Linked DNA regions of Lonchura striata. The protein of the gene in region 1 interacts with the protein of each later gene in a biochemical or structural test. Links are inferred from orthologs where the notes say so. Each region holds a gene or a part of one and is shown in the gene's direction. Other genes may lie near its edges.

Evidence for each region.
Region 2: the proteins of GLI3 (region 1) and SUFU are reported together in a solved structure, tested with the Homo sapiens proteins (2 studies listed by BioGRID and IntAct, with this or other methods). The link is inferred for Lonchura striata from reciprocal best matches to the Homo sapiens genes GLI3 and SUFU.

What each region holds. Positions count from the first base shown.
Region 1 is NC_134603.1:104,409,834-104,417,165, reverse strand, and holds the start of GLI3 (transcriptional activator GLI3), read left to right. Parts: upstream 1-4,257; 5' UTR 4,258-4,364; intron 4,365-4,435; exon of another isoform or gene 4,436-4,569; 5' UTR 4,570-4,694; intron 4,695-5,227; exon of another isoform or gene 5,228-5,283; intron 5,284-5,953; exon of another isoform or gene 5,954-6,142; intron 6,143-7,332. UniProt on the Homo sapiens protein: Has a dual function as a transcriptional activator and a repressor of the sonic hedgehog (Shh) pathway, and plays a role in limb development.
Region 2 is NC_134609.1:20,014,792-20,022,618, forward strand, and holds the start of SUFU (suppressor of fused homolog), read left to right. Parts: upstream 1-4,797; 5' UTR 4,798-4,857; coding exon 4,858-5,033; intron 5,034-7,827. Other genes in the region: ACTR1A (alpha-centractin), read right to left, coding at 2,764-2,811. UniProt on the Homo sapiens protein: Negative regulator in the hedgehog/smoothened signaling pathway. Down-regulates GLI1-mediated transactivation of target genes. Down-regulates GLI2-mediated transactivation of target genes. Part of a corepressor complex that acts on DNA-bound GLI1.

The sequences.
Region 1 (7,332 bases):
AAAATGATCTGCTAGAGTAGAAAGATAAATCTGATCATTAGGGTTCAGTCCTTTTTCCACTGAAATCTAGCAATGTCCCCAGTGTTAGCAAAAGAAGGAGAAAGATATAGTGGTTCCTTGCTATGGACTACCAGAGGAATTATGTATATCAAGTCTGTGAAAGGCTGCAATGACCATCCTTAGAAAACTGAGACTCCTGAATGAAGGTTGCTATTTGACACATCTGGATATTTGCTGATAAATTTCCTTTTTTTTTTTCAATGGCAGTAATAAAAATCAAACATCCAAATAATGAAAGGATCCAAAGTTACTAATTTACACTAGTGTGTAGTGGCACATCAGTTTATAATTTCTTTCAGAACCAAACAATTAGTTGTTTCTCAGACCCCACATCATTTGCCTTTTCTAAATCAATTGCCTGACAGTAACTGCAGATAAGGTTTTTGCCTGACCTTTATATCCTTCCCAAATGTGGCTGCCTCCATGCACCAGTTCTTCATCCCACCTTGGGCCATGAATCTTTCCTTGTGCCCCCAGCTGCAGCTTGTGCAGACTTTGAGGATTCTGACATGATACCATCTTATACTCCTCTTTTCCTTCCACTAGGTAACTCTTGAGACACATCTGCTGTAAGAGGCAGCCATGCAACACAGGAGATATGTAGGTAGGGGCAAGATGCACTGGTCAAGCTCTCTTGTGATGGATATTGCATAAATGACCAGAAATCGGTGCCGTTGCTCCATATTCCACAGCTTTACCTGAGGTTGTCCCTGTGAAATCACAGCAGACCTATTTCATAGAATGTATTCTTGTAATTGCCTACTGTCAAGAAAGGGACTGTTTTAAAACCTTTGTCTTCTACTGGATGTCAACTGGATAAACAGCAACAGTTAAGGTCCTTGAATATGTCCTGTAGAGCATTTGCTGGGATTGGAGAGAAGGTGGAGGGTGGTGCACCTGGGAGTGGTGAGGAGACTGGTTCTTGGTGTCACTGAATATCAGGTCTTTTGCATACAGCTTATGAGCAGAGTCTCTGCTCCTTCTGACTGTGCTTTCCTGTAACAACAGGTGCAGCAAAAGGAGAAGACAAATGCACACCTTGGAGGACTGTAATTTTCAAGTCAGAGGCTGAGAAGAAGCGGGGAGACAAGGTAGGCTGAAGAAATGCAAAAGTATCATGCATGATATAACTCACAGCAGAAATGCCCTGTGGTTGTGGCATATTGAGTCAGAGAAATGAGTTTTGTAACAGGTCAACAGGTCTTCTGCAGGAGCCAATTCCTACTTGCAGGGAAACATCATAGACAAATCTCAGAGGTTAATTTCTCTTGGAGGCGCAATCCAGACGTGGAAAAATCATTATGTTTTATTAATGTGTAGTTTTTGTCTTCCCATTGCATCTTTCAAGTACGATTCCTCTGAATCAGACATGAAAGATGATAAGAAAGGCACCTCCCTGAACAGAGCTGCCCATTTTCATTTTGTTAAGCTGAAGGGTTGGATGTTCTAAGCTTCTTTTGCACTCTTCATTGTCAAGGTGTTGAAACATTTACAGTACGTTTCAAATGGCAAATGTCACCCACTCACCATCAGTTTTTATTTTCTGCTTGGCCTGAGCAGACAGAGGCACAAGCAGAAACTTCAGTTATTGTTTCTGTGTTTCCCTTCTCTCAAGACTTTCACTGCTCAAAAATGCATCAGAAAGCTATTTTTCATAAGCAAATGTTAAAGCATTCTATCACCTCTTTATATTTTTTGGTCTGTCTTAATGTGAATTGAGTGTAGAGAAATGCTTTGGGTTATTTATCTCAAATTAGAAATATGTGTCTTGAGAAGAGTTGGTGTGAATAATATTAAAAACAAACAAAAACCCCCAAAACTCAAAGAGCTGTTTCATGATGTAACAAGATGTCCAAACTCTGAGGAAATAGCTTATTTTTTTAAAAAGTCTAAGATGAATACTGACCTGAAGGCCCAGTCTCAAAATCATGCCCCAGTTTAAATGTCTTTTAAGCTTTTATTAAAAGCAGTATCTTAACATCAGCAATACTGAATTATAAATGGTGAGTCAAACAGGATTTTCCACATTAATTTGTTTCTTTTACAAAGTATCATTTTGGATGTTGGTTAATTTCCCCTGTTACTTTTAAGGGTTTTCATTATACAAAGAGAAAAAAAAAAGAGTTTAAGAAAATTGATTGCATAAAATAGAAAGGAATAAGCAAGAGGCAGAAAATGAGAGAAGAGTACAATGGGCCGAAGGAATTATATTGCTCTTAAACATATCTGTAAAGGGACCTGAGGTTTGCCTAATCACTCTGTGCACCAGCACTCCCCCAGCACATATATATGTATCAGGGGGTGGTGTGCATGTCACATAAAGTACATACATATGGTGGTGTATATAGCACATATAGCTAAAACAAAACATCCGCAGTACTACACCACTATTATCATATATCATGAAACAGCTAACATTTTCCTGGGAACATGAGACTGGAAAAGGAAGTCATATAAGATAAAAAAGTTGGAAGAATATCAGCTCTTCATATTGGCATTCAGATGCTGGTGTTGCACATGCCTCTTCCCTGTGTAGCACTATGCATGTCAGCAGTATTGCTTGGGCAGCCAGGGGCTGCTCCTTCGGAGCAGGGGCAGATTTGTCTCTTGGTGTGCTGTGAAATCACTGGCTTCGGAGGCATGGCACCAGAGCACAGGCTCTCATCTGGTCCCCGGTGCCCACCTCCAACAGTGCCCGGGCATGCGTGGCAGCTTGAACAATGTGCAACTCTCACTCAGTGTGACAGCATCTGACTACTGTGTCTATCCTGAAAGTCAGGCTGTGCTGACCTGGTGCTGTAAAATGTGCATATAAAAGGCATCCCTGGGACCGCCAGGGCAATTAGTCTGACCGTAGCAGGAACATCCATGTATTATAGGCATCTCGCTAAAGCTACTTCTTGCACCCAGAAAAGATTTACAGGTGAAAAACAACACCAAGCCAGTTAGCCTGAGGAAATTAGGGTTGAAGTGGCCCTTTGAGTTAGGTAAGATTGCTTTCTCTTTGTTTTTAAAAAACTAGTGGACCAAGTAATCTCAAACCACAAATACCTGCAGCTTTGTTTTGTAATAAAATCAACATTTTCAATGGTGAGACTAAGAGAAGCTTTATGAAATACACAGCATCAAATCAGTCTTTCATTTCCATCAGCAAACATAACATTTTGTCAAGAACCACTAATTTTTTGAGGACTTTCCAAATGTAGCCCAAGCTCGGGTACCTTGCTAAATTGCATGTATCAGTAACAAATCTTTACTTGGCTGTGTTGTGAGTCAGGTTATGAACAAAAGTGCATGTAAAGTATCTGATATTGTGACGGCAGCAATTTAAATATATTTATATATATATATACACATATACTTTTCCCGAGAGCCAGTCCCACCTTGTGACTTGATGGAAAATGGTTGTGGTAGTGTTAATTTACGGTTTCTCAGACTTTTTTAATATCAGGGAGCAATCTGCAAACTTTGGAAATGTAAGGTGTCTTGTCAGGACACATCATTTCCCGAAGGATGGAGATACTGGAACAAATGGCATCCTAGTTCTTGCTATTTCTGGACTGCAGCATGCTGTTGTGAGAAACCTGCTCGCAAGGAGCCCGGAGGAAGAACGGAGATGAGGGCCAAAGACGGAGGCAGCTGAGAGCCCTGTTTCGTAGGTTGAAGGCCAGAGGAGCCTGGCAGGGTGCTGAGGAGGCTGGCAGGTGGGCTGGGAAAGGAGGAGCCGGCGCAGGCATCACCGCCACTTTTCCCCTCGACAAAGCACTTGTATTTTTTCTCCAAAAGAGCTATCTGTCGGTGTCACATGGCTTAGGTGAAACTTTCCTTGAAGTCCTTCAGTCAAGTCAGCCTGCTGCGCCAGAGCGAACGTGAGCCCAAAAGGCGCAGCATACACAGAAAACCCACGCGAAGGGCACGTTTACCCCCAAAAAGCCCTGGATTTTTGGCGGGCGGGAAAAGGGGGTGTCCAAGGCATCGGTGCGCGGGAAATGGGGCTGCAGATGCAGGCTGAGCCGAAGGATGGAGCGGGAGAGGAGGGAGAGGGAGGAAGCGCGACCCGAGGCGGAGGGGCCGCTCCGGGGGGGACCCGCCGTCGCCCCGCGCTGCCTTCTGGCTGTGGGCGGGGTGTCGCCGCCCTTGGGCCGCCGCCGGGGCGGGCCGGGCCGGGCCGGGGGGATGGCGGGGGAGGAGGAGGAGGAGGAGGAAGGGGGGAGCGGGGGTGTCATGCCGAGAGCTCGCGTCGCAGCCCGGCAGGCCGCGGCCCGACCCGCACCCCGGGGCGCAGCCCTCCGCCGCTCCCCCAGGCAAGCGGCCCCGCTCCCCGCCGCGCCCGGGGCACCCGCGCCCCGGGCAGCAGCCAGCCGCGTCCCGAACGGGCGGAGGGAAGGGGGGAAGGAAAGCGGAGCCCTCTCCGCCGCTCAGAGGAAGGGGAGGGAATGGGGAAAGTTTAGCGGAGGGTGTTTGAATCGGGAGTTATCCCTAAAGAGCCTTTCCCCTGATCTGATCCAGAGGGCAGCGCTGGGAGGAGGGGGAGGCGACGACGAGCAGCCCTGCAACATCTGTAAAACTTGAAGGAGGCGGCGGAGAGGAGCGCGCGAGACGGAGGAAAGAGAGAGGGACAACTTTTCCGACACGTGAGTACCTCGGCGCGATGTGTTTGTTCCCCTCCTTCGGTGGCTGCGCCGAGCCAAAACAATGCGGGGCGGTGGCGGGGCTGGAGGGGACGGGCGGCACGGGACGGGACGGAGGGGTTCCCCCTTCCCCACCAAAACTGGTACCAGGCCGTAGATTTGGGGATACTTTTTTTTTTTTCTTTTGCTCCCTCTCTTCTTTTTCTTCTTTTTCTCCTCCCCTCTGCTCTTTTTGTTGAACCGAATCAGAAATGTCAGTCAGTGCGAGTGAGTCAGAAGGGATCAGATTACAAGATCACTGAAACTGATGTCGGACCCGCGCACACACACCCCCACACGGAGGCAGAGGCGCGGGCTGCTCCCCGCGGGAGGCGGGCAGGGATAAAACAACCAGCACCAACACCCGCCGGCCCTCCTCTGCCGCCCCCGTCCCGCCTGTGTCCCGTCCCGTCCCCCTGCCCCGCGGGATGCCCGCCGGCCGCGGCGGGGGCCGGCCCCGCTAGCCGCGGCGGCGGCGGAGCGGCGCGGGGACGAGCCGGCGGTCCCGGCCCTCGCCCATGGGCAGCGCGGGGGTCGGCGGCAGCGGCGGCAGGTACGTACCCACTTGGGCGAGAAGTTCTTTGTTCCCCGGCTCTACTCCGGGCCACTTTCTTGTCGTCTCCCAGCGCTCCGGCCCCGCTCCCGGCCCGCTTCCCGCTTCCCTAACTTGGAGGCGGGGGTCGGGGGGGACCGAGGTGTCTAACCCCCAAAATGGCTGTCACGGAGCGCGGGAGCCGAGGGCGCGGGGTGCGGGGCGAGGCGAGGGCAGTCCCCGCTCCGAGCCGGGCTCGGCCGGGCACGTCCCGCGGCAGAGCTGCCGATGTGCGGGCGACAGCTGCTGTTTTATTTCCACCCCCTTCTTTCTCCTCGCCCCTACTCCCTGAGCGACTCCAGGGGGTTTTCACGCCCGTGCGGCGGGAGGCCGGCACAAACTTCGCAGGGGGAAAGGCGAGAGGAGCGGGGGCGAATCCGCTGTCACATCTGGCGGGGCGGAGGGGCGCCCGGGGGTCGTCGTTCCCTGCCGGCTGCTCCCTGCGAGGAAGGGGACGGTCGGGTCCCGGAGGGGGGCGCGGGGGTGCCGGCGGCTCCGTGAGCAGCGCGCTCGGCCGCTCCGCGCCGCCCTGGCGCGGGTCCGGCGGGAGCGGGGCGGCGGGACGGGCCCGGCCGAGGCCGGGCGGGAGGAGCGGCGCGGCCGCCCCGCGGGAGCGCCCCGGAGCCGCCCCGGGCCGGCACCGCGGCCCGGCCGTGCACCGCCCAACTTTGCAGGATGGGAGCGCGGCGCGCCCGCCGCGGTTCCGATTGTCCCGTGAAGTCGGTGGGTGTTGGCACAATCCCCGCGCCTTCGGACGGGCCCGCCGGCTCGCAGCTGCTAGCGCCCGCTCCCCAACCCGCGCACCACGTGAAGAGAAAAGGTAAAAGGAAACACACGCCCCTCGCTCCCCATCTCACTCCCCAGTTTTGTTTTTAACCCTCTGGTGCGTAGTTTTTATCCGGTCCTGCGGGTACGGTGTCCGTGGCCTTCTGCCAGTTTGTATGTAGATACATTTATGTAAAACATTTTCTCCCAGCTCCTTGCCAGCTGTTCCACATTTTCCAGCTGCCACTTCAGTTTGAAATGATGGACTGTACTCATCTCAAAGAGCCTTTTAGTCAGAGGTACGGATAGCTGTCTGTTTGATACACAGTGTCACGTTTTGGAGGCTACTTCACTAAAAGAACATTAAGTAGCAACCCACGGCAAAATGCTCCTCTTCGTCGCACCCTTGCTACTTCCCGCTTCATTTGCAAGCCTCAATAAACATGATTTTTTAAGCTTCAGCGTGCAGACTTCGTTTCTTTTGTGTGCGTGCTACAGAAAAACTTGGAAGCAAAATTTTCCAGAGGCCTTGAGACATGTGGCTGATTAAACCAAGAAACATTTTTAGGAGGGCACGGCTGCCTCTCTGTCTCTCTGTGCTGTAGGTATCTGTTTTGAAATCGTTTAAGTCACTGGAATAGTGAGAAATCACTATGTTTCTCTGTGTTCCAAAATTGGTTTTGTTGTGGTGTTTAAAGAGATTATGGATTGAAATGTTCCAGAACTGGCCTTAAGTAGTTTGAATATTTGTGCAATTGCATTGTAATTTGGAGAGGTGCCTCACTGATTGATTCCTATAATTATTTCATTTAGGTCCTTTATTAAAAATTGATAATGATCTGACAGTTTCTTAATTATATATGTCATGATTATTTTGAAGGAAGACGAATGCAGTGTTTTAAAAGTAAAGTAATCCAAAAATGTAAAAACTGCCATCTTCACTGTATTTCAGTCGTGGAAATATATATTAAAAGTAATGGTGAATGAGTTTAGCAATGTAAACTGTAGGCAGCCTCTTGAGAGTTTGTTTATATAAGGAAGGTTTGGGTATAACCAGCTAGTATGTAAATACTTTCAGTTTTGTGTATAGCCCAATTCTAAAAGCATAAATAATAGTAACTATGAGAGGAGGCTATTTTAAGGACAGGGAATTATTTCTTTAAAAGCAGGATTATGTGATTTTGAATGAGTAGGAAGAATGAGTAAGAAAAGGACTCTCTCAGTGTATGTGTATTCTTTTAAGTA
Region 2 (7,827 bases), on another chromosome or scaffold:
AAGAAAAACTACATGAGTAAAATGTAATAGTCAATGAAGATAAATTAATAAAAAATTCTTCTGAGTGTCTTGAAGGAACTGAACATACCCATCTACTGAAGATACTGAAAAATCCCTGAACATGCTCATCTACTAGCTCTGTGGCCAGTTGTTAATGGATTCATTCATCTTGATGCATTTTAGGAATCAAATTTAAATGGAAATCACCAGTCAATCTTTCATGTAGCACTTTCTATGGAGAGTGCACATTTCATATTGTTGTAACACTGTTTTATTAGATAAAGAATTTTTAAGATCAAGAACAAACCAAAGACAAGAGCCCTTGATGACAGCTCAGCTGCATAAAATGCCACCACTAAAGACTACAAAGCAAACCAGAGATAATTCCAAGTTCTATGGAGGTCAAGGAATTTGCACTGACTTAGGCCACAGCTGGACTACTGACATGTGCATTATGTTCAGCAGGGCTCCCAGACCGTTCAGAGAGAACTTGTTGGACTGCAGATGGGAATACAACTCTTAAAAATTAGACAATCAAGAGTAAAAAGTTGTGCTGAGGTACAGCTCCAGCTTCCCACTGTACATTACAAAGCTCTCCCTGCTGAAAGCATACAGCTAAGAGCAATTTGTGGTAAGAGAAATAAACGTCCCTGTTAATTTTTTAGCTACAGAACTTCATGTCCTTTTGGAACACACTTTAATTCTAGAGCAGGGCTGGGACTGGAGGGGTCTGGCTCTCACCAGCTCAGTATCTCACCTCCCCCTTTCCACACACAGGCACATGTGAGACAGGATAACATTCAGCCTTCTTCAGTTCTCTGCAGAAAAGCAGTAATGAGACAGCAGTGAGAAGTGGTACCTGCTCTGTGCAGCTCCACTTCCCATCCTGCCTGAACTCCAAAGAGTAGCAAAAATGCAGTGTCACCACGAGTCTCCTTGGCCCAGAGCCTGCCAGCGTTACAGGCAGATGCCACAACAACTGCTCCATTCTCCTTCTTGTAAAGGGAGGGGAAGGGGGAAGCTCGTTTATTGGAGAGGCAAGAACAAGAATTAGCTTTTATAAGACCAGCTGATAAAATGAAAAAGACACAGAATCAGCTGCTGGCACATGAGGCCTTCTTCAGGTCTGAGGCAGAGGCAGCAATCATTGCACTAAATAACAAAAGGACATGCTGAAATTAAATATAGGCTGCTCCTGCACTAATAGCTCAACTAAGTGATCCTCACAGCTCCAGAATACCTAGAGATAACTTTAATGTTTAGCTAATCACTCAACAATGCAGCAGGATCAGTGCTGATACAGGCATTCCTAAAAACAATCAACTTAATGCATTTTTTAACATATTCAGTAAAGGACATACATGTTTTTCTCAACACAGTCAATTTCACTCCTTACTATCCTTTTCTATTAGATGCTTTCCTTCCATGTCTAACTAAAATCCTTCATCTGTAAGATTCCAGGGAAATAAAGCCAAAACTGTATCAGAGAGAGGAATTTGGGATCCACAATACAGAAAAAGTCAGAAGAATAATTGCCGTTATCTGAGAAGACCTACAATCATTCACTGCATGGAGAGTTAAAGCAATAGGCTGAGAACTGCCAGGGCAGGAAACCCAATTCATATGGAAAAAAAAAAATCGGGAGAAATTAAGCTTGTGGAAGAAAAATGGAGCACAGCACTGACCCTTCAAAACAACAGAATATCAATCACTGGCGATAGAGGTCAGAAGGGAGGAGCACGAGTTTGTGACTCATTACACTGAAGGAGGCTCTATCCAAGACATGCCCTCCCATTCCTTCCTGGATGGTCCTTCCTCCTGGGAGGGCAGCATGGATGGGGCAAATCAGAACTGGACCCAGAAGTACCTCAAAGAGGCACAGAATCACTGTCATTCATCTCCTGCAGAGCTATTACATACACAGACTGAAGGTCTGCTTTGTGCTAATGAGCACCATCAGCAATACTGGAGCAGCCATCTGCAACACCACACTGCGCTGATGTAACCCTGGGAACAGATCCTTCAGCAGTGGCATTCCCTTGTTGTGAGGGGCACTGCCTTGTTGTGACCACTGTGCTGGATGCACTGGATGAGGGGGCACAAGAGGTCAAGGCTTCTCCCTCGCTGGGCCTGCGAGGGGTGCCTGGCTGCAGAGCATCATATCCTGCACGGGGCCAGGGAAGCGCCAGCACCCCCAGAGCTTGCTGGGGTCCAAGCACGGCCTAGCAGGAGCACACTGGAGCCCTGGCCAAGGCCTGCCCCACAGCACGCTGGCAGTGTGGCCACGGCCTGGCCCAGCACCCCCATTGTCCCCCCGGCACAAAGAGGGGTGGGCGGGGCCGGGGAAGCCCCGCCCGACTGACAGCGCCAGCTGCCAATGAGCGCGGGTGCTCTGGCGACAGTCCCGCCCCGCTCCGGCAGGCAGCAGCGGGCTGCGCCGCTGACTGACAGCTGTCTCAGCCAATGGGGGCGCGCCGCCCCTCCCAACCAGCGGCAGCTCAGCGGCGGCGGGGGCTGCGCCCCCCAGCGCGGGGCAGCGGCCCCGCCGTGGCTGACTGCCACTCGCCCCAGCCAATCGCGACTCGCCGAGGCGCAGCGGCCCCGCCCCCCGAGGACGCCGTATGGCGCCGTGCGAGGGCCGGAGGCGGCGGCCGAGCCGGCCGAGGTGGGGGGGGGGGGGCGGCGGGCGGGGAGCGGCCGCCCCGATGACAAAGGGATTGCGGGCCCTCCCCGCTCCCGGGACGCGCGGCCGCCCGCACTCACGTTGTCTATCACGACGGGCTGGTTCGCTATCACATCGTAGGATTCCATGGCGAGGACCCGCCGCAGCCGCCCGTGAGGGAGCAACAGCCCAGCCCTCGGCGGCGCATGCGCGGAGCGGCGACGCGGCGCCGCCTGGGTGATGTATTCCTGCCGCCGCGGCGCCTGCCGGGAGTTATAGTCCGACGCTGCGCAGAGTCAAGCGGGGAGGCGCGCCGGGAGCGGAGCACGCCGGGAGCTGTAGGCCGGCACCGGGAGCGAGCCATGCCGGGAACTGTAGGCCGGCGCTGGGAGCGGGCCATGCCGGGAACTGTAGGCCGGCATCGGGAGCGGGGCGTGCCGGGAGGCGGAGTGCGGAAAAAGGGAATCCTGCGGACACATCCACGGCCTAGACACCGGAGAATGTTGCGGTCCAGGAGATAGCTGGGTGCTTCCACCGGAAACGCTGCACCGCAACTGGCTGGCTTCCGCTTAATAGATTCTCCCCTCTTAATTTTTTCTAATAGGAAAGGAGAAAAAGGTGATTATATCAACTTCTGTAGAGGGTATCTATGACTACGGAAAGTGTTTTATTGTCCCATAATTTCATGTGATCATCTTTATGAACTACTGGTCATAAGTCATCTGTTCCCTCCACGAAACACCAGTTTCTCTCCATTTTTGAGGTACAAGAACCACAAAAGAGGTGTCAGTATAAAGAATACACATCATGATCATTTCAGTATTGAACAATGAACACACTGTCATTTCCATTGACTAAGTATTCTAAAAGCACTTGGAATAATCGATCACTGAAACTCTGGATCTTGAAACTAATTAAAATGGATTTTCATGCCACTGAGCAAACCTGAAGGCTTGACTCACCTGTCTTGTCCCACATCTCTCCTGCAGACATGGACTTTTCTCCTGTAGTTCCTGCCTTTAGCTCCAGTAGATAAGTTTCATCCCAGATGTTTACATTTAGCGACCTTCCCCATTCACCTAGTCTAAAAGAGGGAGTTTTTATACAGCAGGATTGAGGGGTTTAGATGAAAGACAGTGTTGTATCACTTCAGTGAATGGCAGGAGACACTCACTATGGGTGTTTCCAACGCAGCCTTTCTACATACTCTGTTACACTCACCTTCTCAGCTGACTGCAGCTGACTACTCAGGCAGATGACACAAAAAGTAGTATCATGGTAACAGGACAAGTGAAATATTTTTCACTGTGGAAAGTGAGGACACCAACTGCTCACCTCCTTTATCAGAGGATTGTCATTTGGCTGTCAGCTTCTTCACCATGTGTGTTCCCCCAAATGGTGTTGTGAAAGTTTTTAGAATAAACTCTCACCTATTTAAGTGAGAAATGCGAGCAGGGCGCCCACCATCTCTGCTGAGCACTCTATAGCTCTTTTTTTTTCTATTTCCTGATTAACAAGCAGGACCCTGCTCTAGCAAAGGTGTGTAAACTACTGCGCACACACCATCCACATGTACATACCCGGCTTTGCACCTCCACAGCTGTAGCTGCAGCTCGGGAATGAGCCAGACCGTCAGTGCGCTTGTGCACAAGCCAGAATCCGCGATCGCAGAGCCCCAGACTTCACGCACTGGCAGCTTCCAGCTGCCTCCAAGGGCCCTGCATTGGCGGGGGTGTAAAGGCAGCAGTCAGAGCCCCGCTGTGCTCCCGGGCCCGCCGGGCGCGGAGCTCCCGCTCCCCCGGACCCGCTCCGCGTTCCCGCCACCGCCGCGCGCGGCCGCCGCCCCGCCCACCGCCCAGCCCCGCGCCGCCGCTAGGGGGCGCGCCCGACCCGCAGCGAGGGGCGGGGCAGAGACGCGGCCGCCCTCCGGGCGGCGAGCTCCCATTGGTCAGTCCGTCCTGTCACTCAACGCCGCCCTTGCAGCGGGGCCCCACCTCCTCTGCGCGAAGCCCCGCGCAGCGCCGCCATTGGCGGAGGCGGTCTGTCACTCACGCGGCCCGGCAGTAGGCCCCGCCCCTCCTCCCGCGGCCCCACGCAGCCGCTTGGGCCGGGCAGGGCCGGGCCGGGAGCGCCTGGCGGGAGCGGAGCGGGTTCGGCACCAACCGGGACGGGCCGGGACCAGCCGCCTCCGGGACATGGAGGGCGTGCGGCCGGGCGGGGGGCCCCCCGCGGGCGGGCCGGGGTCCGGCTCGGGGTCCGGGTCCTTCCCGTCGCTGTTCCCGCCGGGGTTGCACGGTATCTACGGCGAGTGCCGCCGCCTCTATCCCGACCAGCCCAACCCGCTCCAGGTCACCGCCATCCTCAAGTACTGGTGAGGCGGCCTGGATGGGGCCGGGGTCTTGCGTGGAGCCGGGGGGAGCCGCGGGGCCGGCGCCTTGTGTGGGATAGGAGAGGGTTTGGGAGGAGGAGTGGGAGTGGGAGAGGGTTGGGAGAAGCACTGGGGCTGGGGCCGTCGCACGGGGTAAGCTGGAGGGGCTGGGGAGGGTTGTGGCAAGGGCAGGGACTGGGGGTTGCGTTCTGTGTCAGGGGTGATTTGCGGGAGTTTTGGGGACATGCAGCGGGTCTGCGGATGGGGGGATTGGGGGTGCAGTTGGTTGCCTAGGTGTGTGTTTGGAGGGGGCTCCTGGAGAGAATGTGCTGGTAATAGAAGGGTCTGGAGAGGTGTGCCCTGAGGACAGGAGAGTGTATTGGGGTTTCTGGGGTGATTTGGAGGGTCCACGCCTGAGGGGTTGCTGATGAAGGCCCCATCTGGGGCAGGTCTTATGAAAAGGGCGTGCGTGTTACTCAGTGGAGGTGTTCCCGCAGAAGGTGAGGGAGGGTCTGGAGTTTCCCCCCCGGTCAGGAGTGCCGGGCTCTGTCTTCTGGCCAGGGGCCTGGGGCTCGAGTGCGGCGGCACGGACCGGAGCGAACCCGCTGTTGCAGCCTGCAGGCCGGGCACATCCCTGTGTACCCATACAGCCCTGCCCATACGGGGCACTGCCAGCTTCTCTTGGCCTTACGTAGCTATGTGTTATCACAGAATGTGAATCTGCTGTTCAGTGTCTCTGCTGACACAGTGTCTGACACCAGGAACAGCAGTTGTTTATGTGGGAGAGTGGCATGAAGGAAGTTCTTGGATGTTTAGCTATCAAGATAAGTGTCTAGTGTCTAATCCCGTGTGAAGAGGAGTTCCTTTTGCTTTTTGCTTAACTGGATCGCTTAGCTGCGCAGCCCCTTCTTCTGGGGCTAAGGAACATGATCAAGTCACCCCTGAATGTTTTCTTTATGTCACATTGGCCTGTCCCTACCCTAGTACTTGAAAAAAAAACTAGTAAATGCTCAACTTCTTTAGTTACAGCTCATTTCAACCTGTATGTCTTTATCTAATTAGAGACCTGAGCAACAGCAGAATAACATCCTCCCTGTATGCTGCTCTGACAGACAAAGCTATTGCTGTTTTTGTCCACAGAAGTGTTGTTTTTCAAGTGATTCTAGCAAGAAGTTTGTTAGCCCTTATTGTCTAGGGGAGTATTGTATTAAAATGACACAGTGGGCTAAGATATTGCAAATTTGAGACTTCAAAATATAAATAATTTCTTAGTCATTGTGCACATCAGTACTTTGGTGGTGGTCTGATCAGTCTGTTTTTACACCTATGTCTAATCTTAGATACTCATGAAGAGTTTCCAGTCACGTTAGCACTTCTTTTCTATCAACAGCTTAAAACATACTGACTGTATTGACATAAGATTTTTGGAGGCTGAGGGAAATTTAGGTCTGTAGTGAAGAATGGCAAAGGCCCTTGTTTGGGAAGAAACCTTGTTGCTTAAGGGATTGATTAGGGTTTTGCTGCAGTTGGAGCTCAAACGCTAAAAGAATTGTTGCTGGCAGTGATGGCAGGTTGCAAGTAAGAAGTAATGTGAAGGCCTGTTTATCCTGGCATTTTCCACTTAGTGGTTCCTCCAGCTGTTAGCTCAGCCAGCAGTGAGAGCTGAGAGTTTCTGTTGTAGAGGTGAGCTTCCTACTGCTGTCCTGTGCAGGAAATGCTTGTGTGAGGTAAAACCTCTATGGACACCAGAAGTTCTTTCTCTCCTGTTGTTGGGTGAAAACTTGGAGCTTGATTTTGTTAAGTTCTCTTAAGTAGAACGACTCCTGCCACAACTCTCTGCTAATCTGTCCTACTCTGCCTGGGCTGCCAGCTATTAGCTGGTTTACATTAGAAGAGGAAATGGCTGAATTAAATTCTCTGCCTTAGGAGAAATATTGTATCACTAATCAGCTTTTAATTATATGTATCAGTTTCTCTACAGTTAACAGCGATTTGGTTTTTTTTGTTCAGGGAGCTGAAGTTGTAGTCTTTGGCTTGCAGATCAGAGCAGATCCTAACTGTGGAACATTGGAGAATCTGCAGAACTCCATGCCTGTTGCATAAAGGGGTTTAGCCATGTTGGGAGAAGTCTTGGGATCCAATCAGAACTTCTTGGAAGCGTTTCTGTCTATTTTTGTGAAGGCCATGCACCAAGATGGAGTTTGTCTGTTGATATCCAATATCCACTTTTATTATAAAATGTGGTAGAGTATCTCAAATTTAAATATCTTGTTGCATAGAATTGCTGGTGAAAAAAATAAAATTTATTCTTTTTTTGTGATGGGTTTTGAAATAAGTATAATTCGGCCTTGACTACTGGGTTTTTATCACCTGTCTTAAATTTAGGCCATACTTACAAAAACCTGTGCAGTGAGCTGTGGTCCGCAGCCTTTTGGGAATCACACACTATTTCTGAAAGGTTCTCAAAAGGTAGCTGTGAAGAGCAATGCTATTGTCAGCTTCTGGGAAGTGACTACAAACAATACACTAAGGACTTTTCTAGGTGGATGAATTAGGAGTGGAGTTTTCCAATGACTTTCCATTGTGGGTCTCTTTCCTCTCTGCGTTTTGTGTTTCGCCTTCCACACAAACTTCGGAGTGCTCTTAACATCAGTCAAAAGAAGATTCTTGGTGCAGATGCAAATACAGGGTTTCCCCTGAGGCGGTCCTTCCTGCTCCTGAATGAGCTCCATGAATAGAGAATGTAACAAATTTGTACTGTACCTCTGGCTTTGAAGTTGGGCTCTTCCTAATAAAA